3 linked regions of the Notamacropus eugenii genome follow. The protein of the gene in region 1 interacts with the protein of each later gene in a pairwise test. Links are inferred from orthologs where the notes say so. Each region holds a gene or a part of one and is shown on either strand. Other genes may lie near its edges.

Region 1 (9,944 bases):
TTTATTTGTAGGCTGATCATAATACTTGCAAAATTCTCAGCTCTAAGTAATAGTCATATTATTAGTCATAGCTATTAGATGCCTTGTGAAAAAGCAACAGACTTTCAGGAGGCTTTTCCCACTATGTCCTCCTTTACCCCTGTCTCACATGAAGAGGTGACCCTTCTCCTTGACGAGGTAACACCCTCCTTTCCCCCAAGACATGTTCTTGATCCCATTCTATCCTGTCTTCTTCAGCAGATTGTCTCTCTACTATACCCACTCTCACTACTATCCAATCTCTCCCTATCTTCTGTACAGCCTACAAATATGTCCATGCCTCCTCCTTTCAAAAAGAAAAAAAATCATCCCTTAATCTGACCATGCCTGCTCTCCTTCATCCTGTATCTCTTCTGCACTTTGTGTGACTAACCCAGAGGTGACTAACCTCTATTAGTGGAGGCTGGTGTCTCTGCTTACTCCGCCTTCTCTTGATTCTGAGCTCTCTGTCATCTGGCTTCCAGCTCCATCATTCAACTAAAATTACCCTCTCTAAGGTTACTAATCTCTTAACTGCTAAATCTAATGACTTCTCCTTAACCCCCATCCTTCTGGATATCTCTGTAATCTGACACCGTCGATCATCATCTCCTAGTGAATATTCTCCAGTTTTATTCTGTGTATATATTTTTGTACATAGTTGTTTGTATGTTGTCTCTCCCATTCAGTTGCGAACTCTTTGAGAGCAGGGACTTTTTTTTACCTTTTTCAGCTTTTAGGTTTCTTCATAACTTGGTGATTTCCCATTTTTTTTTCTATCCATTGACACTGGCCTTCTTACTATTTCTCACTCATAAGAAAATTCCATCTCCCTTCTGTGTCTTTTCCCTTTCTGTCCCTCCTCCCCTCTGCCTCCTGGTTTCCCAGGCTTATCATGATTTAGCTCAAATTCCTTGTCCATGGGAGACCTTTCCAGTCTTCCCTTTTCTCTGTCTCCCTGGTAGTACCTTCCCTCAGCAAATGTCTTGGATGTGCACAGTTATTTGCATGTTACTCCCTCCCCACATTAGAATGTGCATTTCCTGAGGGCAGAAGCTATGTTTTTGCATTTGTTTTTAAGGTCGGGGATTTAGCACAGAGCCCAGCAAGAGTAACCACTTAATCAATGCTTATTAACAGACTGACTGACTGACAGGATAGATTTTGGGAGAAATGGGATAGGGTGAGCTATGAAATTGATGGAGCATTTTAGAACTTACAAACAACTTCAAAGACCTTCTCCTTTGATCCCCATAACAGTCCTGTGCTGTAGTTAGTGCTGATACTATTGTGTCCCATCTCCTTTTAACAGCTTAGGAAGCTGGGGTTCAGAATGGTGAATTCACTTGGCCAGCATCCTACAGGAAGCAAGTGGCAAAACCAGCACTAAATTCATCAGTTCATAGATTTAAAGCTGAAAGGGACTCAGAAGTCATTTAGTCTAAGTCACTTATTAAAGTTAAATGACTTGCCCAGGGCCACACAGTTAGAACATGTCTGAGGCAAGATTCATGCTCAGGTCTGTTTGACTCCACGACCAGCTGTCTTTACAATGAACTATGCCTTGAGTGTTTTAGATCGAGAGGAGAGCCTCATCAGTGGTTTGGCACCCCCTCTGCCCCCACCAAAAACAGTTCTACTTGGCATTATGAGAGCTTTTCATACTTATTTTTTAGAAGTCAATGATTCTTTTTCTCATGATCACCCTAATATTAATCTCATGATCACCCTAATGTTAATTAGGGTGAATGACACAAGTGATTTGTCTCATCTAAGACAGAAATAAATAGCTTGCATCCTCCAGTTCAGTGACATTCTCTTAGCTGACATAATTTTTGACCACAGAGGGGCAAAGTGATGAGTGGTCTATCTGTGGTTTCATATAAGAAGGAGGGAAATTTTGAGATGGCTTCTGTGTCCCAAGAGTCACAGGTTCATCATGCCATGTGTATTGAATGAATTAATGAATGAATCCATCTTATCAGAAGAGTCACCTAGTCCTTTAATTCTTTAAAGGACTTTAATTCTAAGATCAAAGAACTAGTTTAATTTTTTCAAGTAAGTTAATAATAAAATCCATCGCTCATTTTTTAAAGATCTACCATGTGCCAGATACTGTATGAGGCTCTAGAGAACCATTTCCTGTCCTCAAGGAGCTTCTATTCTGTCAGATGAGACAATATGTGCACATATACTCACATAAGTATGCCCAATACTTGTACCTTAGAAATGGAAGGTAATGGAAGGGTGAGGACATACTTGCTTCTGTTGAGGATTAAGGCAAGTGTCTAGAAATTTTTAAAAACAACATTCCAGAAAAGATTTGGTATTCAGTAACTGGATGGATGGCTTGTCATGGATTAAATTTCATCATTTTACTTCCTGGTCAGTTCTGATGTTTCCTCCATGGTCTAAATAAAGGCAAGATATGACCAAGGGGGAAGACAATGACCTTCCTTGCCCCTCATCTTAAGTTGGCTACAGAGGGAAAGAGTAAGACTTGGTCTCCATCCACCAATCTGTGTGGGAGAGCTCAAAAACCGGGAGACCCAACAGCCCCAGGGCTGTCATGAGACTCAAGTGAGATGATGGATGGAAAGATCTTTTCAAACCTTAAAATTCTACATAATGCCAGCCATGATTATTGTTATTAGCCTCCAATCACCTGGTCTCCAGTCTTGTGATGTGTATTTCCTAAGCCTTCCACTGTCCTACTCAATTTAAGCAATGTTTATGGAGTAGTAAAGGGGTGTGCTGGTAAATGTTTAACTACTGGATAAGGACACGTATGCACATATGCTTATACGTTTAATTTGTATTATTAACATTTTCTTAAGTCTATAAATCTACAAAACCATGAAGTTGGCTCTGATTTGTGGCAATTGCTGATTTTTTTCTTTCTCCCTAGGCAATGGGGTTAAATGACTTGCCCAAGGTCACGCAGCTAGTAAGTCAAATTTGAACTCAGGTCCTCTTGACTCCAGGGATGGTACTCTATTCATTATGCCATGTGGCTGCCCCTAATTGCTCCTTTCTAAGGTATAAATGCTCAAGATGATCATTTAACAATGGACGCTCACAAGCCAGTTACAGCTGCCTCCAACAAACCCCTGGAAAGTTCTGACAATTTTGTTGGGTGGGTAGCTGTAAAAACAGAAGCTAATTATGTATAAGCTCTATCATCTCACTGTGGGAGACAAATAGAGAGGCAAAGAGAACAGGAACATTAACTTAGTGTGAGGTCCCTCTCAAAGGGACAGAGAGACCCAGGTCCTAGACCCAAAGGCATAGTTTCAAGATAGAAACTAAAAGCTAAATCCTGGGAATGTCATGGAGTTGGTTCCAAAGGTCTCTGATGTCCTTTTTAACGCCATTATTGCATGATTCTAAAGAAACTTTTGATTAAGAACCTGGTATTGATTCCAGCAGTTATCCAACAAGGAAAATCTCACAAATGCAATAAACCTGTGCTCTGGGGTGTGCTAAAGTGAGCTCTGTATGATCATCTGCAACCACCACAAATCTAGGTTTGCTTTACTGTTTCGTGGATTGTTCAGACTTAAGAAAGGGTTAATAACACAGATCAGACTTAAATGTGTATGCATACATTTCCCCCTAGAGAGTCTGGTTGTTAAACATTTGCTGTCACTCCCTTATATTGCTCTATAAACATTATTTGCACTTAACTAGAGTGGAGTAGAAGGCCCAGGGCATGAAGTCATCACCAGGTAGCAGACCTGGCAACTAGAAGCTAATAGTAATAACGACCATTGAGGATGTTCTTTATTGGTGTATATAAGACTCTCATAATGGGAGAATAGGAATTAAAGCTGGTAGTTACTGATGTTCTCTCAGTTGCATTTTTTATATTAATAAGGTCCAAGATTTTTTCCATCACTGGCATTTTTCCCTTCTTCCGATGCCTAGTACATCAATCCTTCAGTGCATTTACCACGGTGGAGATTACAAAACAGATCTCTTTCATGTATAAATAGTATCTAATCTAGACGCTTTCCTTGTATTTTTGCTCTTTAGTGCCATTTCCACCTTTTCTGTAAGCACACTGTGGTGCTAGGGTCCAAATATGGTTGTTTCACTGTCCTTAATGAAGAAATCATTAGTTATAAGGATTTTTACAAAGCTTTCCCATTTTCTTCTTGCAATCCTTCTTCCCTTTTGGAATGTCCTTGGGATGAGTTTCTTTAGTTGAATGTTTTCCCAAGCTTCCTTTAAACTGATTTTTGCCTTACTGCTTGCTTCCTTAATTTATGAGACAATACTGCTCATAATCATCCATCATCCTTATCCACAAGATTTTATAAATGGGTTTATATTGTAATCTAACATTGCCTTTGGCAGCCATCTCTCACTATTTAGCAAATAAGTCAGATATCTGCTGATTTAGGCACTTTCTGAACTCTCTTCATGCCCTTGGTGTACACTGGTTACCCTTCAGAATAACATCATCATAGTCAAAGTCGTTGTCTTTTCTGTTGTCCATTTCCTATTTCTGATCATTGGTTACTTGTTTGAACAGTTCAGGATTAAGTTATTTCAGATGTATGCCATATATTTTTCTCATTCTTTTAAAAAAACTAGTTCAGATATAACTCTGGTCTAACTGTATGAAGATAGCTATCATAGCAACAATATGTTGGAAAAATTCTTTCTGTTTGAAAAACTCATACTATTTCATTTTATGGTGTTATTTGATGTTCACCAATGGTCACTGATTCTTTCCTCAAGGAAAATGTATTTAAAAAATAGCACATTTCTAAAAACAAAATCAATAAAACCAAATCAGTAGAGGAGGAAAAGTTAAAGATTAATCATCCCTTAAGCCTGGTTGGATTCCTGACTTCTTTTAGTAGACATTAAGCTCCTTGGGGGCAGGGCTCACTTTATTCTTATCTTTGTATCTCCCAAATTAGTCATAGTGTCTTAATGCATCAGTTAGTGAATAGACATTTTTTAAGCACCTACCATCTGTGAGGCATTGTGCTAAATGCTGGGGATGCAAAAAGAGACAAAAAAAAAAAATACTTCCTGCTCTAAAGGAGCTCACAATTTAATGGTAAGTGCAATGAAAAAACATTTGTTGGACTGAATTAATCACTCTTATGAGTGAACTTCTTTGAGTGGCAAATGTCTCTAAAAGTAGCTTGATATCTTGCTTTTGTTTTAAAAATTCTCTTTTGTTTCTAGTCACAAAAGGCAGGCAGCAATGTCATTTTAAGTCTTTTTTTAATACTCTTTTCCTTCAGTGTTCCCTGAACTACAGCCAAATCACTCTCTTTACTATTCAAAATATTCTGCACATTCCTGCCTCCATGCCTTTGCCCATGATGTACCCCCCACCAGAAACACTGTTATTGTCTACAAGGTCTAATTTTTCTACAAAGTCAGCTCAAATGTTTCAAGTTTCACTAAACCCTCCATGATCTCCACCCAGCTTTTTCTCATACCCAAGCCAGAAATGAAAATGGATACACTTTTCTGTCTCTCACATTCTTTCATATTTTACCTTCTCCTATGCTGATATTTATTTGTTGTTTAAAAGCCCTTACTACTTGGGTCAGTTTGGTTTTCTGGCTTCGTTAGGTATCATCTTCCTTTCACATTTTTTTCCAGCCAAACTGAATTTGCTTTTTCTCCCGAATGGGGTTTATCTCCCCTCTCTTTGCCTTTGTCCCCACCTAGAACTCCCCGCCTGCTCATACCTGCCTCTTAGCATCTCCTCGTTCCTATGACCTCAAGCGCTGCTTTGTCCAGGAGACCTTTGTTGATTCTCCCCCACAAAATTACTTTGTTCTTGTTCAGTCCTGTCCGACTCTCCGTGACCCCATCTGGGATTTTCTTGGCAAAGATCCTGGAGTGGTTTGCCATGTCCTTCTCCTGATCATTTGACAGATGAGGAAACTGAGGCAGAATGAAGTGACTTGTCCAAGGTCACACAGCTAGTAAGTGTCTGAGGCTGGATTTGAACTCAGGAAGTTGAGTCTTCCCTACTCCAGCCCTGGTGCTCTGTGCACTATGGTGCCCTCTACCTGCCCTTTCACAAAATTACCTAGATTTATTTTGCAGATATTTGCTTTAAGATTTTCAAAGAGTTTTATGAATTTATTTAAATTAGCCTTCACAACAACCTGGGAGGTAGAGGTTATTGTCCCCATTTTACAGGTGAGGAAACTGAGACAAACAGAGGTGAAGTGACTTGCACAGGGTCATACAACTAGTAAATATTTGAGATCAAATTTGCACTGAGGTCTTCCTGACCAGTACTCTGTTCACTCTACCATCTCATTTCTAAATTCTACAGATTGTTTCATGCAGCTCTGCTGTAATCTCCTCACTTTGTATCTTTCGCATCTAACCAGGTCCCGGCAGGGCCTGCTAACTGGGAAGGTGATGGTGGAGATTACTTATGTATATGGATTGAACTAGATGATCATCAACACCCTTTCTAATCCTCACACTATGATTCTGTATGCAAAATAAAGAAAAAAGAAAAAACAAATACTGGTTGCTTGACTTTTGTACAGATCCCTACTGGATTATAAACCTGCTGAGGGGAGGGCACAAGTCTTACTTGTCATTGTGCCGCTCCTCACATCTAGTGTAGAGCTTATTTAGTTACTTAGTGTAGTAGCTAGAGATAAGAGTCCTGGGCAGGGTATGGAGTCTGCAAGACCTGAGTTCAAATGTGACCTCAGATACTTACTAGCTCTATAACCCTGGGGATGTCACTTAATCCTTTTTGCCTCAGTTCCTCTTCTATGAAATGAGCTGGAGAAGGAAATGGCAAATCACTCTAGTGTCTTTGCCAAGAAAATTCAAAATGGGGTCACAAAGAAATGGACACAATTGAATACACACAGGAAATGTTTGTTTTGTTGAACTGAATGGGATCTGGGTGCATAGCAACCAAAAAGTTCCCATCCGCTTTCAGGGTTCTAAGTTAGCAATTCTCAAAGTGTGGTCAGGGGACTCCTGGGGGTCTCTGAGACCCTTTCTTGGAGTCAAGGGGGCCAAAATTATTTTCGTAATAATGCCCAGGCATATTAATTTCTAATACGGTAAATATTTAACGTACATAAACAAAAGATTTTAAGGGAGGGGGAGTTCTTGATTTAACAGTATAAAGGAGCTGTGAGACAAAAAGTTTGCAGACTGCTCTATCAAGCCCAGAAATGCAGCATCTAATATTAGCAGTCACTTGGCAAAGGCAAAACTGAGTTATATAATCCCTGCTCTTTGAGAAGTAAGGGCCACCGGGAGCTAATTAACTTCCGTGTATTCTGAATAGATTCAGGGAAAGCCACATTGTTCTGAAACAGAATGGCTCCTATTTACATTATAATCATCCTCATCACTCTCATTCATATAATAACTCACAGTTACATAGCATTCTAAGTTCCTTCTTCACAACCTTTTTACAAGTAAGGTATGACTGGTATGAGAATCATTTTCCCAGTTTCACATGCAAGGAAACTGAGGCTTTTCCTGGTGAAGGAGCCTTTCACAGAAGCTTATGGCTAGTACACAATCCTAACTTGATCTTCTGACCAATACTGTTTTATATCATATGCTCCCCAACCAGCTTCTACTTCCTCCATCAACGTTTCATTGTATATGTGTGTGTGTGTGTGTGTGTGTGTGTGTGTGTGTATAAAGAATTATTTAAGCATTTGTTGTGCCCCCATGCCATAGAACTGAACTCTCTGAGGACAGGGACTATACCCCCAGTATCTTGCACATTATAGTACTAAAATAAGTGCTTCTTCACTGATTCATCATTCTGCACCAAAGATTCTCTAACTTCATGTTGCTAGCTGCATCAGGTACCAAGAAGACTTAATGATACTGAGGAAAAGAAACAAAATATCATGGGGATATTAAGGAGAGTGTTGAGACAGTGAGCTAGAATCAGAAAAGCCATGGGTTCAAATTTGACCTCTGGCAGTTGTGTGACCCTGAGCAAGTCATGTAAAAGTCTGAGCTTTGGACAATTTCCTAGGATCTTGCTACTGAGAGACAGAGTAGTTGTGATGTTGGTAGAAGAAATTTCCAGCCCTGTGCTGATGAAAGCACTAATATTTTTTGGATTCAAATACCATTAGGTTTGCACATCAGTGAAACTGCTTATGCTGGAAGACATATTAACTTCGCTTGTGTTTATATGTGTGCATCATGGCAAGCAGTGCAGATGAGTTGAGTGTGGTGGCACACCTGTGCACTGAGGAGCTAAATTCAGATCTTGCTTGTGACACTGTCTTGTGACCTTGGGATAATCACTTCCTAGTTCTGGGCCTCAGTTTACCCATCTGTAAAATGAGGAGATTTAAGGCCCCTTTCACTATGGTTCTGTGGGGCACCTATTCTCTCACTTGAAAGAATGTTAGCTCCATGAACTGTTTTCTCATTTTGTGTTTGTATTACAGTGCTGTGGGGAGAGGGGACCTTAATAAATGCTTATAAATTGGTTGTTATATAATGAATATATTCAGGGTATGCCCCAAATCACAGAGCAGTTTGAAGCTAGTACTTCTTGGGATACCTGGTAAAATTCAAATGAATTCAATAAGTATTTACTAAACGTGGTCATATGTGTAAGGTACAACGAGGCTACAACAGGAAAAATAGAAACCATTCCCAGCCCGCAAGGAGCTTACTCCTCCGAAGGAGACTGGAGGTGATGATGATGACCAGAACACCTCTTTTCTCACACACAGGTAAGTACGAACAAGGCAATTTGAGGAGGGAGATGGCAGTATATAATCCAAACAATGACAGTAGGAGGACATGTCTTTACCCAAGGATGCAAAATTAACTTCAATCAATGCTCTGTTTTTCTCCATTCCCTTCACAGAGTGCTACCTACCTGTAATAAATGCTTTGATTTTTCCCCCCCAAGGTAAAATGCATTATTTATTCTTCACTTCAGCAAAATAAGCAAGAAAATTGGACCTCTTAAAATCCAAATAATGGCACCAGCAGTTTTTCACCTTTATTTCCAGACCCTGGATTCTGTTCAAATGCATGACAGGACATTATGTGTATGCTCTGGCTCAAAGACAAATATAGGGGTAACAAAGATCAATTAAGTAATTTTGCTGGCTTGTGGCAGAAAAAAAATATTTCGGTTAAAGTATCGATTTTGGTTTTTAAAAAACAGGCCACCGGCCTTGAATAAAAGTGTGGAGTTCTTCTGCAACAAGGAATGCCCTTTCAGTCAGGTGCCTCTGAAGCTGATAGCGTCTAAGGATGAACTAGGAAAGCAGAGAATTTAAAGTCTTTCAAGACAGCCGGGTCCAGCTCCACCATTTTACATGAAAAAATGGACCCAGGGGATGCTGGGACTTGCTGAAGGTCACACGAGTAACAATTCACAGAGTTGCTAGAAATTAGAATCTAGGAGTTCTTACTCTCTAACTAGGGTTGTTTCTATTATATCAAGATGATAGAGTGGTTTGATTTCTTGCTTTCTTTCCTCTTTTTTTTTTGGTGGTGAGGCTAGGAATAAGACTTTAAAGTTACATGTGCTTTTTCCTCCTCTCACTGATGACTCCCCCGTCCATCCAGACAATGAAGGGATGAATTTCAACATATGAATCATAGCCTTATAAAGGGAAGGGACTTTAAGATTGTCTGGTCCAGGGCTTCTTAATCTGGGATACATGGACCCCCAAGACATCCATGGACTTGGATCAGTTATTTGATAGCTTTTTCAATATAATGTATTCAAATATATTACTTTGTAATATATTTTATTTTATATGCCATTCTAAGAAGGTGCTCATCCATAGGTTTCACCAGGCTGCCAGAAAAAAACGTTAGGAACTTCTGATCTAACCCTCCCCTTTCCTTTCACAGATTAGTAAATTGAAGTCAAGAGAGGTAAATGAGTTTCCCAAGGTAATATGTTA
Region 2 (9,794 bases), on another chromosome or scaffold:
GACTAGCTCCATGGCCAGGGGAAATAAAGAAAGACAACTCTCCCCTGCTGCTGGGTCTGTAGGGTCAGGCCTGGATGGAACTTCCTTACCTATGTCTAGGAGAGTGGAATTGTTTTTCAAGGCCATGACCAGCTCTTCTGCCCCCTTGTGGTTGATCTGGTTGTTTCGGAGGTCTAGTTGCTGCAGAGTGGTATTGGCCCCAAGCCCCTCACAGAAGAGAGAAAAACTTTCTTCCCACATCCCCAGGTTGTTCCACTCTAGAATAAGGCTGCGAAAAAAGTCATCATCAAGGCTGAAGAAGCCTGACATAGAAAAGCAATTTGTACCCATGAAGCCTCATGGAAATAAATAGGAAAATGGTTTGGGAGCTTTTCCCTCTAAGGAGCATCCTTGAGCCATGTTGACAAGGAGGGAGTGGGCAGGGGGTCACTCTCTTACCTTTGAATGGATTTGTTTTGTCGGAGGAGTTTACCCAAAGCCTCAGCCCCTATAGCTCGAAGGTTATTACCCTAGGACAGATGAATGGTTAGTCATTCACCCTCCTGAAGGCTGGACTCTCAATGTGACAGCCTTACCTTCTGAGTGAGCCTATCTGTGTGCTCTGCCCTGCTATGAGGTGAAATTGGAGCTAGACTGACCCTTAGGTATAGTTCCCTAAGACACTGAAGAAAGCAGTTAGGGACTGCCTTTTTAAAAAAGATATGTTTTCCTCAAAGTTGGCATCACATCATTCCCTCATGGGACTCAATGCCACTCAATAATTCATTCATTCAATACTATATATTAAGCACTGTAGGAGATATATGATCTCTACCTTTGAGTCTAAGAATTTTTATGAATTCAAGATATATGTCTATATCACAATTAGACAAATGATTCTGACTAGGCCACTCCAACAATATTGCTGTAACTGTCCAAACTCAGGGAAATCTAAGCATCTGAGATGCTTCCATAGGACACCAGAAACTACTCCACAATAAACATTTATCAATCCCCATTTTCCCCTCTATTCTCCCCATGGCTCTTTGGGTCTGGTGTTACTGTGAGATGTTTCCGTTTGCTCACCTTTAAATCCAGGTATCTGACTACTGTATTTGAACAAAGTCCTTGTATGAGCAGTTTGGATCCTGTAAGAGAAAAAGAGTTATTTTTTTTCTTGGAATACAAGGTTCCCTGGGTCATCTCTTTATACTCTCCTTTGCCTATCTGCAGGCAGCTACTCACTCAGGAAAAGATATTTTTTTTTTTCAGTTTGGTCACGATCATAGCAACAAAATGCTACTCCAACTCACTTCAATCAGCTAGCCAAACTGACTACCAGGTTAGGTTGAGACTTGTAGGAAATCTCCCACTGATAATAAGAAATTATATTTATACAATATCTTAAAGTCTAAAATGCATTTTCTCAAGCTGAAATCATGCCTACTCAGGAAAGGTTGCCAGATTTCAATCAAGGAAACTGATGTTCATGGAGGTGAATTGTTATCACACAAAAAGTTTATTTCTAAGCCAACACAGAGTCTGGCTGTTGTGGAAATCTAGGTCTATAGAGAAATATTTAGCCTCAAGTCCCTTGTAGAAGAGGGAAAAACTTTCTTCCCAACCCTCTAGGCTTTTCCACTCTAGAATGAGGCTAGGAGAAGAGACACCACTAGAGCGGAAGGAGACTTAGAGGATTGGGCTTCTGAGTGGGAACCTTAGTAGTTTGTGTTCAATAAATGAAATGCTGATGGAGGTTTCAGAAAATCTACATATCTGAACCCAGGACTGGGACAAGGAGTTCAGAACTACCCAAGCCCAAACAGCAGCCAGAGGTTTTAGAATCTGACCAAGTGCCCAGAACCATCATTCACCTTCTTCACTCATCATGCAGTCACTTAGAAGGACCACTGAAAATAGGATGTCATTTTGCAGGAGCTTCCCCAGAGCTCCACAGGTGTCAATAGACAAGCTCTGGGTGGCCAGGTCTAGCTTGCTCTTGTGATGACCCTCCCGCAAATCATGCAGCTGCTTGAGGACCACTTCCTGAGGCTCAGCGCCACTGTCCTTACACAGTCGGCAATAGGAACGGCGGAACTCCTCCATTGTCCCAGGAAAATTATAGGGGCTTCCTCAGGATGTTCTTTATAGTCCAACTTTTCTGTGGAGAAATTCCAGAATGAGAGAACTAGCCTCACAAGTTATGAGGCGATCAACTCCATCCTTGGGAGAGCTGCATGATGTTCCTGAGCCAAGCTGCTTTCACCATTGCTAACAAGATATACACGGATAAATAAAACACAGATTAGGATATGACAAATGCATAAAAGGACTATAAAGTGCTATGAGATTGGATGATGGATAACAGTACAGTTTCTAACAATTCACTTTAAGACTAGATATGGGAGATACTGTCTCACAAGATGAGGGATGCAGGATGAAATTAGAAAAAGCAGGGCAAGTGCTGCAAAATCATTAGGTCCTTCTTCCTCTTTCCTCTTTTCCTTCCCCTCTTCCCCCCAAAAATGCCAGTTCAGTTATTGTGGTAGATAAGGACAGGATGGGCAGAGGAATTAGGGAGGAGACATGTAGGAGATCTACATAAAATGAAGATCCTAGGTATGAGGGCTGTGTCATGTTGGAGGTTCCCTTGTTTACTGGGATGATTCCCAGGGTAAGTAGAAAGTAAGGCCCCAAAGAAGTTTAAGAACATAATGCAGTCCTAAGCATATTAGAAAATCAACCCATCACCATCAATTTTGATTACCATCTTCCTTCATACCCCACTGGAGATAAACTAGAACCCTGAACCCAAGAGCCTTGGGAATAACAGTGCCTCCCAAACCACCAGACCTGCTTCCAGCCCAGCTCCTGCAGCTATCACTAAGGGGAGAAATCCCTGCGGAGAGAGGGACCACCTTTCTCGTCACTACCAGCAATAATTGTTAACTACCACCAACAGGCAGATGAGCACAAGAGCCCTAGGAGTAACAACAGGCCCCAAGCCCACCAGTCCAGCTTTCAGCCTACCCCCCTCTCACAGCATTTGTATAGGGAAGCAACTTCTTGTGGAGAAGGGACCAGCCATCCTTAACCAACTTTCACCCAGCTGCCACACACAAGGTCAGGCAAACTAGCCCAGCTGGAGTAGCAAGGCATCCTGAGAAAGAGATAGGAAACAGGCATGGGCTAGGCAGGTCAAATTCCACCCCCATCTTGGCCACCCTCTGCCCTTGAACCCTGATGCAGACAGCCTTGGGAGCAGCAATGCTTCCAAGATTCTGAACCTAAAAGTCTCGGGAGTCCCGTCACCCTGGAAAGCATGCCCTGTGGAGATGCAGCCTGGCAACTGCTCCTGCAGACCCAGAAAACAAAGTTCTGCCCCGGAGTCCTTGGCACTGTCAAACGGTACCACACAGGAACCGCTGTGATCTTATCAGTGGCCATAACGTTAAAGAAGGGGCATTGCCATCTGCCGTCTCAGCACCCTGAAACCTCCCACGTGTGCGGTTAGACTGATCTCCTTGAGTGCAGGAGGGTCTTACTTTTCTACCTCCAGTGCTTAGCACACAGTAAGTGTTTTAATAAAATACTTACAAACTGCATTTTGTCTCCGTGAGAGAGCGGTATGCTGGGGAGGACCGTATCTCAGGTCCTCATGTTAGCCATGGGGACAGTGAGTGGGGTGGAATGTGGATGGGGGACTCTATGGGGGGTCCTCTAGAAAAGTTCATCAACCAGGGCAGTGTTTGGTGGGGTCCGTGTACAGGAAAGAGAGTGCAGAGAGGGGCAGTGTATTAAGGAGGTGGAGGAGGTAGAGGCGGAGAAGTGAATGGGGAGGAGATAACGTGAAGAGGGCAGTATAGGAGGGAAGGGGCGACGATGGGGGAAGGGTAGTGGGGTCGAGGGTACTGTCTGGGGAGGGGACAGTGGCGGAGTGGGGGCGGATGACGTGCTGTCCCCCCTCCCACAAGGTGTATCCTGGTTACAGGGTAAAAGGTAGACATTGGTAGTGGGGTCGCATCTACTTCATCCCCCCCCCCCCCCACCCTCACAGGCGTGGGTTCGAGGACATCTCCCCCAGCTACACTCCGACTCCAGCACCCGCATTCGCGGGTGGGGGGGGGGGAGGTGTGGGGGGTGGGAAGCGCCACCTCACTCACCGGCCGCCGCCCGCAGCGCCTCAGTAACCAGGAAGTGCGAGGTACGCTGGGAAAGGTAGTTCAGCCTGAAGCCTGGAGGCAGCAGGAACTACAAGTCCCAGGAACCCTCACGAGGCCTTCTCTAGGAGGAGTCCCGTGGCGGGCGGCCGAAAGAGGAGAGAGCACGCATGCGTTAACGTCCGTAGTAGTAGAGGTGGGAGCTGGAGCGGCAAGCTGCGGCGCCGCGGCCTCTTCCCGCGGCCGCTTCTCATTGGCTGGTACGAGACCTCCGGGGCGGGGTCTCCGAACTCTTCGAGGGCCTCTGCGGCTGAGATGGAGGAAGAAGGTCCTAGCTTTAGGAAGGTAGGGGCTGGTCTGTGCTCGGGGAGCGGGCGCCCCGCGGAGGCCGCGGAGCCAGGCCGGGACGGGGAGCGCCTGGGTCTGGGAAGTGCGCGGGAGAGAGGACCTCTTGGGAAATAAGAGAAAAAGTGGTGCTCTTCCTCCAGGGCGCGTCCCACCCCGCCGGGACCGGCCGTGGGATCCGAGGCCGAGTCCGCTCTGGCTTTGAACCCCTCCCGAGTCTTCTCAGACCTGACGGCCCCCCCGGGCCAGCGACACTGGCTCCTTGCTGTGGCTCGCACGGGACACTCCCATTTCCCGACTCCGAGCCTTTTCCCTGCTTGTTCCCCGGTCCTTGCACGCTCCGTCTCTTGGCCTTCCTGGCCAGATCTCACCAACAGAAAGCCTTTTTCCTTTGTCCTCCTTCTGTGGATTATCCCAGTTTATTTTGTTTCTACATAATTGTTTGCATGTCGTCTCCCCCTTTAAACTGTGGGCTCCTTGATGATCTGACTCTTGATGACCCTGTTTGGGGTTTTCTTGGCAAAGATCCTGGAGTGGTTTGCCATTTCTTTCTCCAGCTCATTTTACAGATAAGGAAACTGAGGCAAACAATGACTTGCCCAGGGTCACACAGCCAGGGATTGTCTGAGCCCGGATTTGAACTCAGGGAGATGAGTCTACCAGACTCCAGACCCTGAACTCTAACCACTGTACCACCTAGCTGCCCCTCTAGCACACAGTAAAGCCCTTAATAAATGCTTGTTTCCTGAAAGGACATGAGAAAAAATAGGCTCTGCATAGTTACTAGAATGCTAAATGGTGTCAGGAACAATTGAGATCCTATCCTGCCTTTGTAGCTTTATGACCTGGAGCAAGTCATTCAGCCTCTGTGACACTTAGTTTCCTCCTCTGAAAAATGAAGATAAAACCTTCAGTATCTACTTCAATTATGATATTCAAATGAGACCATGTATATGCGAGATAGCAAATGTAAAGTGCTTTGTAAGCTTTAAAATGACATTTTTATAAAGTGTCTGCTAGACATATACCCAAAGGAGGTCATTGATTTTTAAAAACAGGAAGAAAGGCTTTATAGTAGCACTTTTTGTGGTAGCAAAGAACTGGAAACAGACTAGATACCTGTTGATTGGGGACTGCTAAACAAATTGAAGGAAATGAATATGATGTAATATTACTGTTCTTTAATAAACATTGAATTAGAGAATCAAAGAATTTTACAAAGAATGCAAATTGCAGAAAATACAAAAGACTTAACTGATGCAGAGTGAAATAAGCAAAGCTTATCTGTGTGTGTGTGTGTAAAATAATAGAAAATGAATGTTGAGAAATGACGAAGCACACACTTGGCCTCAAAGAAGAAACATGAGAACAATTTATAATACAATGGAGGGCATGAAGGAGGCAAAGAAAAGTACCAAATATTCTACGACTATTTAAGAAAGAAACAACTCACCTGGGGCTATCAGAGAAGGTTACCTGAAGGAGGAAGCTCTTTGGTTGAGCCTTGAAGGAAGTCCAGCATTCTAGGCTATGGATGAGGGATTGTATTCTACACTTGGGGGTTGAGGGACAGCCTTTGCAAAGATGCTCAGTGGGTTGGAACCAGATTGTGGAGGACCTTAAACTTCAGACTAAGGAATTTGTATTTGATCTACTTTGGCAATAAGAGGGCACTGATGATTTTTGATCAGTGGAGTGACATAGTTAGACCTGTGCTTTAGGAAAATTATTTCATCAGCCATGTGAACTAGAGACTGATTAGGGACTGTTGAAATAGTCTAATTGGTGATGGCATTAAATTGGGGTTTTTATAGTCACTGGAGATGTTCAAGCAGAATCAGAATCAGCTGGATTTGGCAACTGATTGTATGTAGGTGAGAAGGAGGGAGAGAGAAAGAAGAGACTAGGATGACTATGACATGTGAACACAGGTATCTGGGAGGATTGTGGTTTCTTCAGCAGAATTAGGGAACATCAGAGAGGAGCAACTAGGTGACTCAGTAGATAGAGTGCTGGGCCCGGAGGCAGGAAGACTCATCTTGAATTCAAATCTGGCCTCAGATACTTACCAGCTATATGACCCTGGGCAAGTCATTTAACCCTGTTTACCTCAGTTTCCTCATCTGTAAAATGAGCTGGAGAAGGAAATGGCAAACCACTCCAGTATCTTTGCCAAGAAACCCCAAATGGGGTCATAAAAAGTCAGACATGACTGAGAAACGACTGAAAAACAACAAAGAGAGAGGTAGTTGGAAAGGAGAAAATGAATTCATTTTTGGACATTTGACTTTGAGGTGCTTATGGGATGTGTACGTAGAAAGAAAGAAGCTAGAAGGCAGTTGAAAATGCAAAACTGAATGTATAGATCCGAGTCACTAGAAGTCCTACTGTGAAACCTCTCTGTGTTGTGAAGGTGACTGTAGGTTCTCAAAACCTAAGCCAGAAGAGTTAAGATCTACCTCATATTCTGGAAAGATGTCGAGTTCAGTCCTGGCATGGAGTAGACTGTTTTTTGATGACCAGCTTAAATGGTATAGCCACTCACTGATGACTACTGCAGCTGATGAAACTAAGAAAAGTACAAAATGGTCCTTTTAGACTGGGAGGTCCCCTTCTGCTTCTGCAAAGACAAGGCAGAATTACATAGTTTTAAAGACAGTCTATGAAGATTAACTTAACTGTTGGTACCTTAAAAGTGAGATCAATGAATCATATTGATCTTGACATTTTTCTCTGTGAACAGAAACAGAAGAAAATTTGTTTAATTGTGTGTACCAAGACAACATGAAATATCATTTCATGGGACATTTGATTTTCTGGTATCTCACTGTGCAAGAGGACCATTGTGAACATATGTAGTTAGGCAACATCAGTTGTAGAGGAGGGTGAGATAAAATCTGAAGAACTCCATTAGGGCCTCCAAATTAAAACAACATACAATATGATACTTGATGACTCTGGTGTTAACACGGGCATAAACAAGAGTGGCCAAAAAAAAAAAAAGTTGGAAAATATGGTTCAGGAGTAAGAAATGAAAGAAACTAAAGCCAGAATCACAGAATTTTAAAGTTGGAATGTTTTCATAGTCATTCTCTAGTCCAAAACATACCTGAAAAGGAATTTTTGCTTATAATGTACTGGACAAATGCTCTTCTAGTGACTGCCTGAAAATTATCTCCATTGAGGGGACACTTACTGCCTACAAGCATGTTCAGACCTACCTGTCCTTAGAAAACCCCACCTTGACTCTGCCTTCCCTTAAGCTATTATCATATATCTCTCCCATCTTTTACTGCCAAGTTCTTAGAAAGAATCATCTACATCAGGGCTCCTTAAACTTTTCTACTTGCGACCCCTTGCTTCTTAAACTGTGAATCTTGACCCCACTTTTGAATACCAGTGATATCAAACTCAAAGAGAAATGGGCCACTAGACAGTAAATAAGGATCTCTGTTATGTTGATTTAGAAGACCCAACATTATCTGTGTTCTTTTATATTTTTATTTATCTTGTTAAGTATTTCCCAATTACATTTTAATGTGGTTCTGTCCACATTCCAGAGTGTTACAGCCTCCTCCATCTACTCACTTCTCAATCCCTTACAGTTCCATTTCATAAATCACTAATCAGCCAAAACTGCTCCCTAAATAATTATCAGTTATCTCTAAACTACCAAATCTAATAGGCTTTTCTCAGTTCTCATTCTCTTAGATCACGCCTTCCTTCTGGAGCTCTTTCTGCCCTTGGCTACCATGATTGTTCTCTCCTAGTTTTCTTCCTATCTCAGTCTTTTTCACCTGGATCATCATTTATTCTTTCGTTCTATGTCTCCTTTGTGCATCCTCTTTTTTCATCCTCATTCTTCCAGCTCTCAACAGGTCCCATGAACTAAGCTATTATCTCTTTGCATATGCCCCCCAAATCTATTATATCCAGTCCTAACCTTGGGCCTGCACTACAACTGCCTATTATATAGCTTCTCTGAATGCCTTTTAGGCATATCAAACTCTATTGGTCAACAGAATTCTTTATCTCCCCATTTTTGTTGATCATCCTAATAGTCTTCCATATTTACAACCTCAGAGTGATCTTAGACTCTTCCCTTTTCCATTTCTCTCACCTCCAACCAATTAGGTAGCAAGTCTTATTGACTATATCACTTCAACATCTACTTGACCTCTCCCTTTATATGTATGTCTTCCCTAGACATACATAACGCTGTTTTCCTTCTCTTTCTCCAACTAATCTTTATTTTCCACAGTTGGATCATCATCTATTTCCTGCTACTCTAAGCAAGAAGGTATTTTTCCCCCTGGCCCCGGCTACCTTGGGCCTCTTGTCTTCTCTCTCAACATTGTCTCTCTTGGTGATTTCATTTGTTCCTATGGCCTCTGTGCTGATGACTCCTAAAATTTCTCCTTATATATATCCATCTCTAATATCTCTCTCAAACTTGAGACCTTCAACTGATACCAACAAACTGATGTATCATAGGCATCTCAAACTCAACATGTCTAAAATGGAACTCTAAATTTCTCTATTTCTTGGGGCATAGGGGTGGGTGGGTGAGTTGGAGAGGCTACATTAAGTGTGTACAGTGAAGAGACTACTGGTTCTGGAGGCAGAAGATCTGGGTTCAGATCCTACCTCTGATGCTACCAGTGTATCTGGACAAATCATTTAACCTCCCTGGGCCTCAGTTTCCTCATCTGTAAAATGAGTGATTTGTTGAACTACATGGCTTATTTTAAGTGCTTCTCAGCTCCAGATCTATTATCTTATATTTTTAGTTAACCAGATTGGCAACTTTAGAATCATCAAAGTCTCTTCCTCCTCCCTCCCTCCTAAACTAAATCACAACATCTCATGCAGCTGTCTCCTCTCCATTCACACAGCCACTCTACTGAGCCTTTATCGCTTCTCTTTTGGCTTTTTGCATTCGTTCTTAATTGGTCTCCCTGCTTCCACTCTCTCTCTCCTACATAGTGCCAAAGTCTTCTCCAGAATATGTTTGACCATAGCAAACCTCTGTTCTTACCTTTTGCTTCTAGGATAAAATACAGACTTCCCAGATGGTAATTTTTTTTTTTTAAGTGAAAAAACCGTGCTTCCATCTGCACTCAAAGTTGTATCAGTTTTTTCTGTGGAGGTAGATAGCAGTGTTCATCTTGGGTCCTTAGGAATTGTCATGGATCATTGTCTGGATGAGAGGAGCGGCATCTTTTATGGTTGACCATTGTTATAATACTGCTGCTACTCTGTATGATGTTCTCCTGGTTCTGCTCACTTCACTTTGCATCAGTTCATATC
Region 3 (10,313 bases), on another chromosome or scaffold:
TACGTAATTAATTGCCCTGGGCTGTGGTGCTTGAGGCCCAGGACCTCAGGGCTGCGTGCAGGGGAAAAGATACCAACGGTAGAAAAGGTTTCTTGTGTCATTTTGCCTCCTCCCCAGCCATCCCTCCTTTCCTTTTGGGATAGAGGTTAAAAATCAGCCCTTATGTGTGTGTAAAACTTAAAAATTTATAACATAGAACTTTATGTGCATAGGCATGTCTCTCTTGAACAGGCTTTGCCACAAGTCCAGGGAGGATGTTCACATTCCATACACTAATTGGTCTTATTATGGAAGGTGCTTTGGGACTCAGAGGCCCATCAGAGCCAAGACTGACTACTGGAGAAATGCCTATTTGAGGGTAACCATGAGTGCTGGCTGAACTATAATGAGATATGGTTTCTCATGTGGCACCAAAAAGTCCTGCCTTGGAGCAGCAACCAGGGCCCCCTCTGAAGGACACGTTTGGACATGGAAATGGTCTTTCATTTGTCTTAAAAAAAAAAAAATCAAGTTTCCTGATTAAAGTAGCAGAAGGATACCAGCCTGAGTCAGTAACTTACTGTAGCCTGTAGTTCTGGAGAGGAGAAGGGGCCTAGCATCTCATCTGCATTTTGTGTCCAGAAGGACCAGGCTGTGCTGCTGTGAGAGGCAGAGAGGGAACACTGGCCCAGAGCTGGGTAGGACTTGAATTTCTCTTTATTTATACATAGTAATGGTAGCTCAAATAGGCTGGTCCTCCAGGACACTGTGGTACATAACATGGAAGGAACAGCAGGCAGGGTTGTGGTCGCAGGGGGAAAGCTCAGTCCTTGGAGTGGCTGCCAGCACAGGATGGGTCCAGACTGCATGCAATAAAGACAGGAGGGACAGGTGCCTAAAAAAAAAAAAACAAAACAGACCAGAGCCAAGGCAGGGCCAAGGCCACAGGTGCCCACCCCCCTACCCCCTCCCAACTTTCAACAGGGGCCACCTTCAGAACTGGGAGGGGGCAGCCATATATAGCTATATCTGTATTTTCATCCCCCCACCTAGACACACAGACAGACAGAGCGGCCCCCAAGGCTCTAGCATCTGGGGGTAGCACCGAGAGTTGATATGTGTACAGAGTTGGGATAGATGAAAATTCCTTGTTGACACAGGATGTCTTCTGCTTCAGCCCTGGGTGGGCAAAGTCCTTTGTTTGGCATTGATCTAAGCCAACCACTCCTGCTTTGGGTCCTGGGGAAGGGGCCCAGAGAGGGGGTAGTTAGAGGCAGCTTTATAGTTCTGGAGTAGGGGGCTGGGCTGCCCCCCTCCCCAGCTGCTATCTTCCCAGGGCCAGGATACTCCCTGCCCCTTTTTGCTCAGTAGCCAAAGGTCTCCTGGGAGGCATAAACCATGTAGAGGAAGCCATCTTCATCCTTCTCCTGCTCATAGATCTCCGAGATGGGTGTGGAGACGCTCACCATGCTGTGCTGGTTCACCAGCAGGAAGAAGGCCTGAGTGGGGTTAAGTTGGAGTCTGCGGCTGCATAGGGGAGAGGAGGATCGGGGGAGTCTGTTGGAAAGGCAACAAGACCCTCCAACTCCCAGCTCTGGGCCCTGACACTGGAGTTGGAGGGAATCTCTGAGCTCTCTAGTCCAACCCCTCTCCCCACTTCCTGACAACATCTCTGAGAAGAGTCATCCATCCATCCTGCCCAGTGGGAGGTCCCAGAGTCGTCCTGCCTCTTATTGGATGGTTTCGGGTTTAGGCAGTTTCTACTGACCCAAGCTGTGCCTCCTTCCATATCCTTATTCCCACCTCCTGTCTCCCACCCTTGAAGGCTCAGGGCCAATCCCTCTTCCACATGGCAGCTCTTCTAATACAAGAAGATAGCTATCATGTCTTCCCTAACTTCTACAAGCTAAAACATAAACTTACTTCCTTTCAGTAATTCTCACAGGGCATGAATTCTACTTCCTTTCCATCCTAAACACTATCCGGTGGATTGATTTGAGTTGTCAATGACCCTCCTTAAGCACGGTCCCAGAATTAAATGCTGTATTCTAGATGTCAGCTGACCAGGGCAGAGGCAGAACGAGGGAACCTTCTCTCCCCCTCTCCCCCACGTCGTAGACACCACCTCTATTTCACGATGCCTGGAATGGCACCAGCTTTCACGGCTGGGACTGTCAAGCCTGGGGTCAGATTCCCGAGGCACTGCCCTGGTCGGGTGCTTTCCAGCCCAGACCAGGGGGAGGTGAGTGGCTGGAGGGAGTGGGAGTTGGGGTGTGCCTCACTTACCGGATGATCTTCACTAATTCACTCATGTTGACATGGTCAGGGACAAGGAACTTGGTCTTGTCCAGGACAGGCAGCTGCTTTTCCCCTTTGTATCGCTCGATGATCACCTAGCGAACAGGCATGGGTAAGAGGAAGCGGGGGGCGGGCCCTTGGGGCGGCCCGGGCCCCGGCACTCACCGGTATCTTACTGGGGTGCTGCTCGCGGATCTGCTGCACTTCCTTGCATCTGTCGGCTGCAAAGCAAAGGGAGGCGGGGGTGAGGCCCGGCCCCGGGCCGCAGCGGCGGACCGTAAACAAGGAGGCGGCGGCTCCCACCCACGCGTCCGCCCCACTTCACCAGCCTGGCCTGGACCCAGCTCAGGGGGCCCCTCCGAGCACGAGCACCGCCCCCGGGTAGACAGCCAGGGCCGCGGCCCGAACCGAGACTCAGGCTACCCGGAGACCTCAGCCATCCACCCAGCCAAACTCCATGCCCGGGTCCAGGGCTCCCCCGGCCTGGCTGGGAAAGGTCGCTGCGGACGGTCGGGCTGGGGTGGGGCGGGGGGACGCGGGACCCTCCCTGGCCCCGAGCCAGCCCCCTCCCCCGCCCTGGACACTCGGAGTAAACACTCCAGGGCTGCGGGGGAGGGGCCTCGTCTGTCTCCTCCCCCCAGGCCCCTTAAAGGGCAAACTCGGGGTGGGGGAGGGCGGACCCGTCCGGGAGGCCGTCCCTGGACCTCTCGAAGTGGAGCGACCCCAGAATCGCCCTCCTGCAATGGGACCCTGCGGGTATCTGCGTGACGCCACGCGTGCCCATGACATCATCGGCCGTGGGCTCTTCCCCCGCCGGCAGGTCCCGGGACGTCTCGCAGAGTCCCGGTCGGATCCCACAGCCCCCCGCCCTACCCCGCCCTGGCCTCACCGAAGCTTCGCCGCTGCTTGAAGGGCCGGTCGGAGGGCATCGCGCCGGGGTCCTGGGTCGGGCAGGGGTGGGCTGGGGCGGGAAGGGAAGTTCAGGGTCAGGGATCCAGCTGTCGCCGCTGCCGCTCTGGTTCTCCGTCGCGCGCGCTCGGGCTCGTTCTGCTTCTCAAACCCGAGCAGCTGCTGCTCCGAGGAGATGGTAACTCGGTTCGGTGACGTCACTTCACAACATTCCTTAAAGGGGAGGCTGGCCTTGCCCTGCCATTGGGCCGACGAAAAAGCCACCCCATCCTCCCACTGACCCCGTGACGCACAGGCAGCTCGGGCCAGGAATGGAGGCCTGAGGAGGCGGGGCTCCCGAGGAGACATCGCCTGCCTGGTCGCTGCCATGACAACCGGTAGCCGCGCATCTCCGCTCTGGACCGCGACGTCGCATGCCCCGCCCCCTCAGGGTCTAAGTTGGGGCCCCCATTCCGGGCCGGGACTGGCGGGGCGTGCCCGGGCCTTCAGCCGCCGGCCGGGCCGGCAGCAGTACGGACGAGGCCTGCAGCCAGAGGTGCCGGCTCTGCCCCACGGCAGGCTCCGTAGGCGGGGTCCCCACGGCCCCCCAGTCATGCGTTCCCCAGGAGACACAGCCCTGGTTTCGAGAAGAGGGATCCCAATGGCAAGGAGTGGGCCAGGATGTCTAGGTCTTTCCAGAGACACTCAGGACTTGGAGCCGGAGGGCGCTCGGGGCCCATCTAGTCCAACGGAGGAGGCACATGCCAACTTGCCAGGCTCTGCCCCTGGCACTCAGTGACTTAGCAGTACCAAAGTACGACCCAAAAACTACATCTTCTGGCTCTTTCCAATATACGTCACTCCCAACTCATATTGGGTAAGTCCCAGGACTTTTCTGGGCCTCAGTTCCCCCACCCAGGTAGTTGAATTAGGTGATGTACAAAGCCTCTCCTAGATTACTTATTGTTCGGCCTGGTTTCACGAGCGCAAGGTTCGGAATTCTGAGGACTCCTCCAAGTACGTTCATTGCTCCTGTTTGCAGAACGACTTATTACCTGAACTTCACAGACAGCCCCCCATCCCCCCTTCCTTTTCTTTAATTAAATTAGAAAGCATTTAATACTTAATAAAAGCAAAAACATGGCTCGAAATCTTGCCAGGGTTTGTGACAGGAAGAGGGGAGGGAGTGAGTGAGATGATTTTCAGACGCTGATGTTTGAGAGGAAAATGTCAAAATATAAAATTCACGATGAGGGCTTGTTTAAATGCCGTCTGGTTTCAGGGGAAAGGCTACCAAGCAGTTTCTGTCTTCCAGAAGGGCAGAGGGAGTGAGGAGAGAAGCTGCTGATGGAACAAATGATTAACCCTTCCCGTCACCCCTGCCTGTAGCTACTCCTTTAACTCCCCTCTTGCCTTACTAAAAACTAGGGAGTTTTGGAGATTTGTAAAGAAAAACGTGTTCTTGGTCTTCCTCTCAGAATGCCAAAAGAGGTATGGTCAGGAGACAAACGATATACCAGTCATTGGCTTTACCCTGCAGTGGAGTGCAGGAAGCCTGGGTCCCAGTGCTGGTCCTGCTTCAAAGGGGTGGTTTCCTCAGTAAAAGCAGCTTTTCAGATTCTAGGATTCTAGAGAGTTGCTTCCTTTTTTGATTTATGATCAGGATGTCAGTCCTAGTTTCTGCTCAGTGCCTTGAAGCGGACTGCACAAAATGAATTCTGCCTCTAATGACTAGGAGAGAATTATTGAAGTATTTGCAAAGAACACACAAGGATGATGTAGATAACCAAATTTGAAAGAAGCAATTTAAACTGAGGCTCTTCCACTGACACACAAAGGCCTGCCTGGTTCCTTGAAATCTTGGGATGAGAAAGTTTCTTCAGCAGTCCCAGCAAGTGACTTAGGTACCCAGGGAGCTTCGACTCATTTCTGTATGGAACTCAAAAAAGTGGCTATGGATACTTTTCAGTGGAGGAGAAGGGAAGAGAGTCTGGTATCTGGTGTCCAGGAGGTGTCAAGGGTATCTCTCCTATGTTCAGGTTACAGCTAAGCTACAAGATGTCCCACTGGGGGAGGCAAAGGATGGAGGCAGTTGAAAGATGGCAGCATTGGGGCTCAAGGGACCATCACAAAACCCTACCCTACCCACAGTGCCAGGGTAGGGGCCCATGTCCTTTTATAAAGGCAGGAAATCACTCAGTATATGCCAGACCTCAAGGCTGCCTTGGCCTCACTATCCTCCTCTACACCTGATGCACAGGAAGTTGGTGTTGGCCCTTACATGCCAGGTGTTAGTTAAAAGTGGTGTTTGCACCCTCATGCCACACAAACACCTTATTTCATGTGATGTTTCTGAGAAATGGAAAATAGGCTGTTCCAGAAAAAGTAATTTTCTGGTAAAATTCTCTGGGTTATCCCCCAAACCCCTTTTAATAGTAAAGCCTTTCTGCTGAAAAATCTTCAGAAAATGTCTAAAATCATTTTCTCTACAAAATAGCCTCTTATGTGGTCCCCATACCCTGGTCTCTTCCCACCCAAGCTTCAGAAGCTATCCCTCCTTTCCCTGCTCAAAAGCCTTCAATAACTCCTTTTGGCCCCCAGTCAAAGTACATCATCCTCAGTCTGCCTGGAATTTAGAGGCCTCTACACTCAGAGTCCTACCTACCTTTCTAGGCTTAGTTGGCCCTCTTCCACTAGAAATTTTCTTCAAGGTTCAACTTAAATGCTACCTCGCCCCTCAGAGGTACTTTTGTGCATCCAGCAACCTTGACTTCAGAATTCCATGCTCTTCATTGTCTTTGTGCCCCCAGAGTGCTCAGGACCTGTGACTTTATAAAGTATAAGTAGTTCCTGATAAGGAATACAGAAAGAAAGTAACATCCAGTCTGTTTCCTGGGGTGGTGAGTGGTTAAGTGATCTGTCCAGGGGAGTATGTATGAGGTAGGACCTGAATCCAGGTTTTCCTCACAGATTAGTCTGCATGATGCAACACCAGCTCCCACACAGTAAATACTTAGTGAATAACCCTTTAATTGGTCAGGAGCATCTCAGGGACCCAAAGGAATCTTTCTTTGTAGGGAATCCCCCAGGGCCTCACGACATCAGTTAATTTTTCTTTTCGTCTTTTCCCCAAACATGGAAAGTGCTGCTGAAATGCTCATAGAAAGGTGTCTTCTAAGCTGGGGTAGAGCTGATCATGCTTCTTCCACAGGCTTCCCTCCTGGTCCTCGGGCCACCCCTTCAGACTCCTCCTCATTTTTCAGGGTCACTTCCCCAAATCCTTTGCAGGTCCCTCCCTCTGCTCTACTACTATGGGCCTGTGAAACTTGGTCAGTCTCTGTGCTGGAACAAGAGCAGTGCCCAATGGGGCTCTAAGTCTCCCCAGACCCACTGAGTGTGGCTGCAATGTAAAGATGGATGGTTTCACATTCCCACCAGTACCTGTCCTCTGGATGTTCATCCCCTTCAAATCCCTTGGAGAGGCCACACCCTCAGATCTCACCCCTCCCCCCACAAGCTGCCATTTAATTCACAGGCTGACTCCTCTACTAGGTCTTGGGATCATAGATTTGGAGGTGAAGGCCCTCTGAAGGTTATCTAGGTCAACTCATTTTGCTGAAGAAATTGAGGTCAAGAGAAGGGAAATGACTTGCCCATGACTACAAAGAACTCAGCTCTTCTAACTCTAATGTACTTTTCCCTAGATCCCCTGCTGCCTGCTTTGTCCTCACAGATCCAGGTTCCAGATCTCAACCCCCACCCTGCAATAACTCATGAGCAGACCTTCCCACCAGGGCATTTAAAGATACAACAAAAGAACAATCGTTACAGTTATTTTTAGTTCCTTTTAAAACAGCAACAAAATTAAAACCAGAAGCCTAGAGCCTGGATTGGGAGGAGGGAAGGCCTGGCCAAAGGGGAGCTCAGACCTTAGGGTGTGGGTACCAGCCCAGGCCATTAAATTTGTCTCCAAGGGCTTTCTTCCTGATGACTGAAGGCTACAGTTGCAGCCTCAGAAGATTCTAGATGGATAAAAGGTTAAGAAAATCAATTTGGGCCCCGCCCTGGGTCACATGATCTCTGCAAATCCAGTCTGACATCATCATTGTTTTCCACATGCCATTCAGTGGTGAGAGGGAATCAACAGGAATGCTTTCTTTCAGGGAGACTATTAAATTAAAGAAAAAAAAATATGGCATCTCGAATATGGCAAATTATTCTGTTGGATTTTGGATCACAATCAGGAAATAATCTTTATCTGCAAAAAGAAGAAAAGACATATGTCACACACTGATTGCTGACTCCAAGTCCAGGCTCTGCCACAAATTTGCTCTGTGGCCTTGGACAAGTACTTTGATTTCCCTAAGCCTCAGTGTTACAGGAGTGATGGAATTAGAAAATCAGAATGGGACAGATCCAGGCCAACCCACACCTGGAAAATAATTCCCACTACAACAGATCCAATGAGACAATTTGGCCTTTCCTCAAAACCTCCAGGAAGGGGATCCCACTACCTTCAAAGGCACCCCACTGCACAGTTCCCCTTCGCTGGGGAAGGGAGGGTATCCCAAGGGATGGCAGGGCTATTGTTGCTTTACTCCTGAATGTGACCCCTCTCTTTATTCTGACAAACACTGCCTTAGCCTTCTTGGATACATCATCCTACGGACTCATATACAGAGTTTGCAGTCCACTAAAAGCCACCGATCTTTTTTGGATGAAACACTGTCTAACCAAGCCTCCCTTCATTTGTACTTGTGAGGTTAATTTTTAAAATCCAAGTGTCAGACCTCACATTCATCCCTATGAAAATTCTTATTATTCAATTCAGCTCAACATTTTAGCCCATCAATATCTTTTAAAATTCTGTTTCTGTCATTCAATATATTAGCTATCCATCCCCTACCCTAGATTTGTATTATCTGCAAATCTGATAAGGATGCTATTTTGCCCTTATCTAAATTATTGATTAAAGAATAGGGAGATTCAAATTCTGGTTTGAAGCATCTTTGTTTCCCCTAAGGCAACCTTGGAAATAGCCATTTGCCCAGACTGGGGGCAAGAATATGTGTGGTAGAAGAAAATGCAGACATCTTTTACACCATGGGGAGGATAGGCTGGTCACAAACTGTATGGACTCCTCAGTTCCTCGAAGGCAAAGGACAGGGTCTTCTTCATCTCAGCCTGAATCTCCAGTGCTTAATCCAAGGCCTCTCATATAGTAAATCTTGACTAAAAGTTTATTGAAATGAAAAAAGCATGTAATGGCATTTCAAGTGTAAAAAATTCAGCCTCTTCATCCAAATTACTGCAAAAGAGCAAGTGTATTCGATCCAAGTTAGCCCTCTTGCCCATGAATTTATCTTTTGTATTTGTTTGGAACATATCTTGTGTAGACTTCCTTGTGAAAGTGTCCAGGGAAGAGACTGTCATTTCTGTAGTGGTGTCTCTACCATCTGTTACAGTGCAATATACCTAACTGATGCTTAATAAATTCATGCTGATAGACTGAAATATAGTTCTTGTTCCTGTTTCTGTACTTATGAGAAATGATTATTAATAACCAATAATTTGCAGAGAGCCAGTTTCCCCATTTTTTAAGTCTTCATTTGGCAGTTCTGTCTCTGAAGGACACAACTGATGATAATAGATGGGATTAACATTATCCTCAATCTAGGGATTGCTACCTCACCCAATTTTACTAGGAATTTAATCTGAGGTGAAATTGGTCCATGATGTTTTACTCAGGCTTGGGTGGGGGATATAGATCCTTTGTCTAGATTCCCTGAGGCTGGGGTTGGTTTGGGAGTAAGAGTGACATAATCAAAGTCACATTGTCCCAAGTCAACCATTAGAATAAATCTACCTCATTAACTGTTAACCAATCAGAATTGATAGCCATCCTCAGGAACATTCACTCTTCCAAAGGCACATAAACTGTGAAGTTCCCCTCCCCCCATGTGTCATCTTTGGGCTAAGAGAGTAAGCCAAATGACCATCCCTTTTATTGATAATATACTAGCACTATTAATAAAATATTTATTACCTAGAAACTATGTCCATCAAACTTTTGTGACTGACTCATTAACAATGTAGACCAAAGGCATCAAACTCAAAACTCCAACCAGATTAAAATGTTACTGGGAGATGTTTAACAAAATACATAAAAATTCAATACAGCATAGATTATGCTAATTTCTATTTGAGATGGTGTAATGCTAATGAGTTAAAAGATCTTCCCCACCCATTAATGGGCCTGCCCATTAAGAGAAGTTTGATTGGGGGAGATTTTTTTTGTTGGAAGGCCAGCACCTTTTGTTATTTCTAATGAGGCACTGGTTCTCAAGGCTTGTGATGCCCTCTGGCTCTGAAAAGTGTATATATATACTCTGAGGTGAGGTTTGACTTTGGGGCTTAGTTTTTGGAAGAAGGTTTGTATGCCAGATGAGACTATGGGAAGCTGATAAGGAGCTCTACCCCCACCCCTCAACCCAGATGTTGGTGCTTCTCTCTGGTAACTATGTATGTATGTAACTGTGATGTATGTATTGCTTATGGTCAGACAGTTGGAAGCCCTTTCTGTTGATCTTATTTCTCTGTTTGTATTTTGTCTGAAGTTCAGGGTGTTCACTTTTCCCTTGAACTAAGTGAAGGATATATGTGCTTAATTAAAGTGATTGCTGACCCCTCAAAAGTTGCTTTCCTTTTAGAAAAGCAGATCTAAGAACCTGTACAGCAGACCCTTCTGTGTATGTTGGGGTCCTTGCTGTTACAGATGGACATCACTGGTGTAAACTAACATTGATAGTTTCCTTATTGTGACAGGAAAGATCTAGACTGTACAGGTTGGTGTCTGTGGCTACTAACACTAAGGGGATTGTTATATAAAGAAGGCTGGACTAGATGAATTTTAGGATGCTTTTTACCCCTTGAAGTCTAAAACATGAGGCAAGTCAAGAAACACTGGCAGTGGGGTATAAGTCAGAGAAATACTCCAGTGACAAGTCACAAGAGCAGAAATCAAGTCCTGTCAAAATCCCCTGTGTGACCTTGGGTAAGAAAATGAACATTCTCTGAGCCTCAGTTTCTCCATCTGTACCATGGTGTACACCATCATCTCTAAGGGCCCTCTAATTCCAGCATCCTAT

Evidence for each region.
Region 2: the proteins of kxDL motif-containing protein 1-like (region 1) and LRRC45 interact in binary tests that used the Homo sapiens proteins (3 or more experiments, as listed by UniProt). The two-hybrid records come from large-scale screens. The link is inferred for Notamacropus eugenii from reciprocal best matches to the Homo sapiens genes KXD1 and LRRC45.
Region 3: the proteins of kxDL motif-containing protein 1-like (region 1) and MAP1LC3A interact in binary tests that used the Homo sapiens proteins (3 or more experiments, as listed by UniProt). The two-hybrid records come from large-scale screens. The link is inferred for Notamacropus eugenii from reciprocal best matches to the Homo sapiens genes KXD1 and MAP1LC3A.

Annotation. Positions count from the first base shown.
Region 1 is NC_092874.1:283,500,687-283,510,630, forward strand, and holds the start of kxDL motif-containing protein 1-like, read right to left. Parts: upstream 4,520-9,944; coding exon 4,468-4,519; intron 1-4,467.
Region 2 is NC_092873.1:326,373,504-326,383,297, reverse strand, and holds the start of LRRC45 (leucine-rich repeat-containing protein 45), read right to left. Parts: upstream 4,225-9,794; 5' UTR 4,184-4,224; coding exon of another isoform or gene 4,037-4,183; intron 3,667-4,036; exon of another isoform or gene 3,577-3,666; intron 3,489-3,576; coding exon of another isoform or gene 3,302-3,488; intron 2,251-3,301; exon of another isoform or gene 2,141-2,250; 5' UTR 2,086-2,140; coding exon 1,854-2,085; intron 1,128-1,853; coding exon 1,066-1,127; intron 510-1,065; coding exon 439-509; intron 269-438; coding exon 90-268; intron 1-89. Other genes in the region: CENPX (centromere protein X), read left to right, coding at 3,302-3,488, 4,037-4,183, 4,225-4,484. UniProt on the Homo sapiens protein: Component of the proteinaceous fiber-like linker between two centrioles, required for centrosome cohesion.
Region 3 is NC_092872.1:418,664,074-418,674,386, reverse strand, and holds MAP1LC3A (microtubule-associated protein 1 light chain 3 alpha), read right to left. Parts: upstream 4,312-10,313; 5' UTR 3,207-4,311; coding exon 3,167-3,206; intron 2,499-3,166; coding exon 2,443-2,498; intron 2,373-2,442; coding exon 2,266-2,372; intron 1,507-2,265; coding exon 1,344-1,506; 3' UTR 675-1,343; downstream 1-674. Other genes in the region: DYNLRB1 (dynein light chain roadblock-type 1), read right to left, coding at 7,380-7,423. UniProt on the Homo sapiens protein: Ubiquitin-like modifier involved in formation of autophagosomal vacuoles (autophagosomes). While LC3s are involved in elongation of the phagophore membrane, the GABARAP/GATE-16 subfamily is essential for a later stage in autophagosome maturation.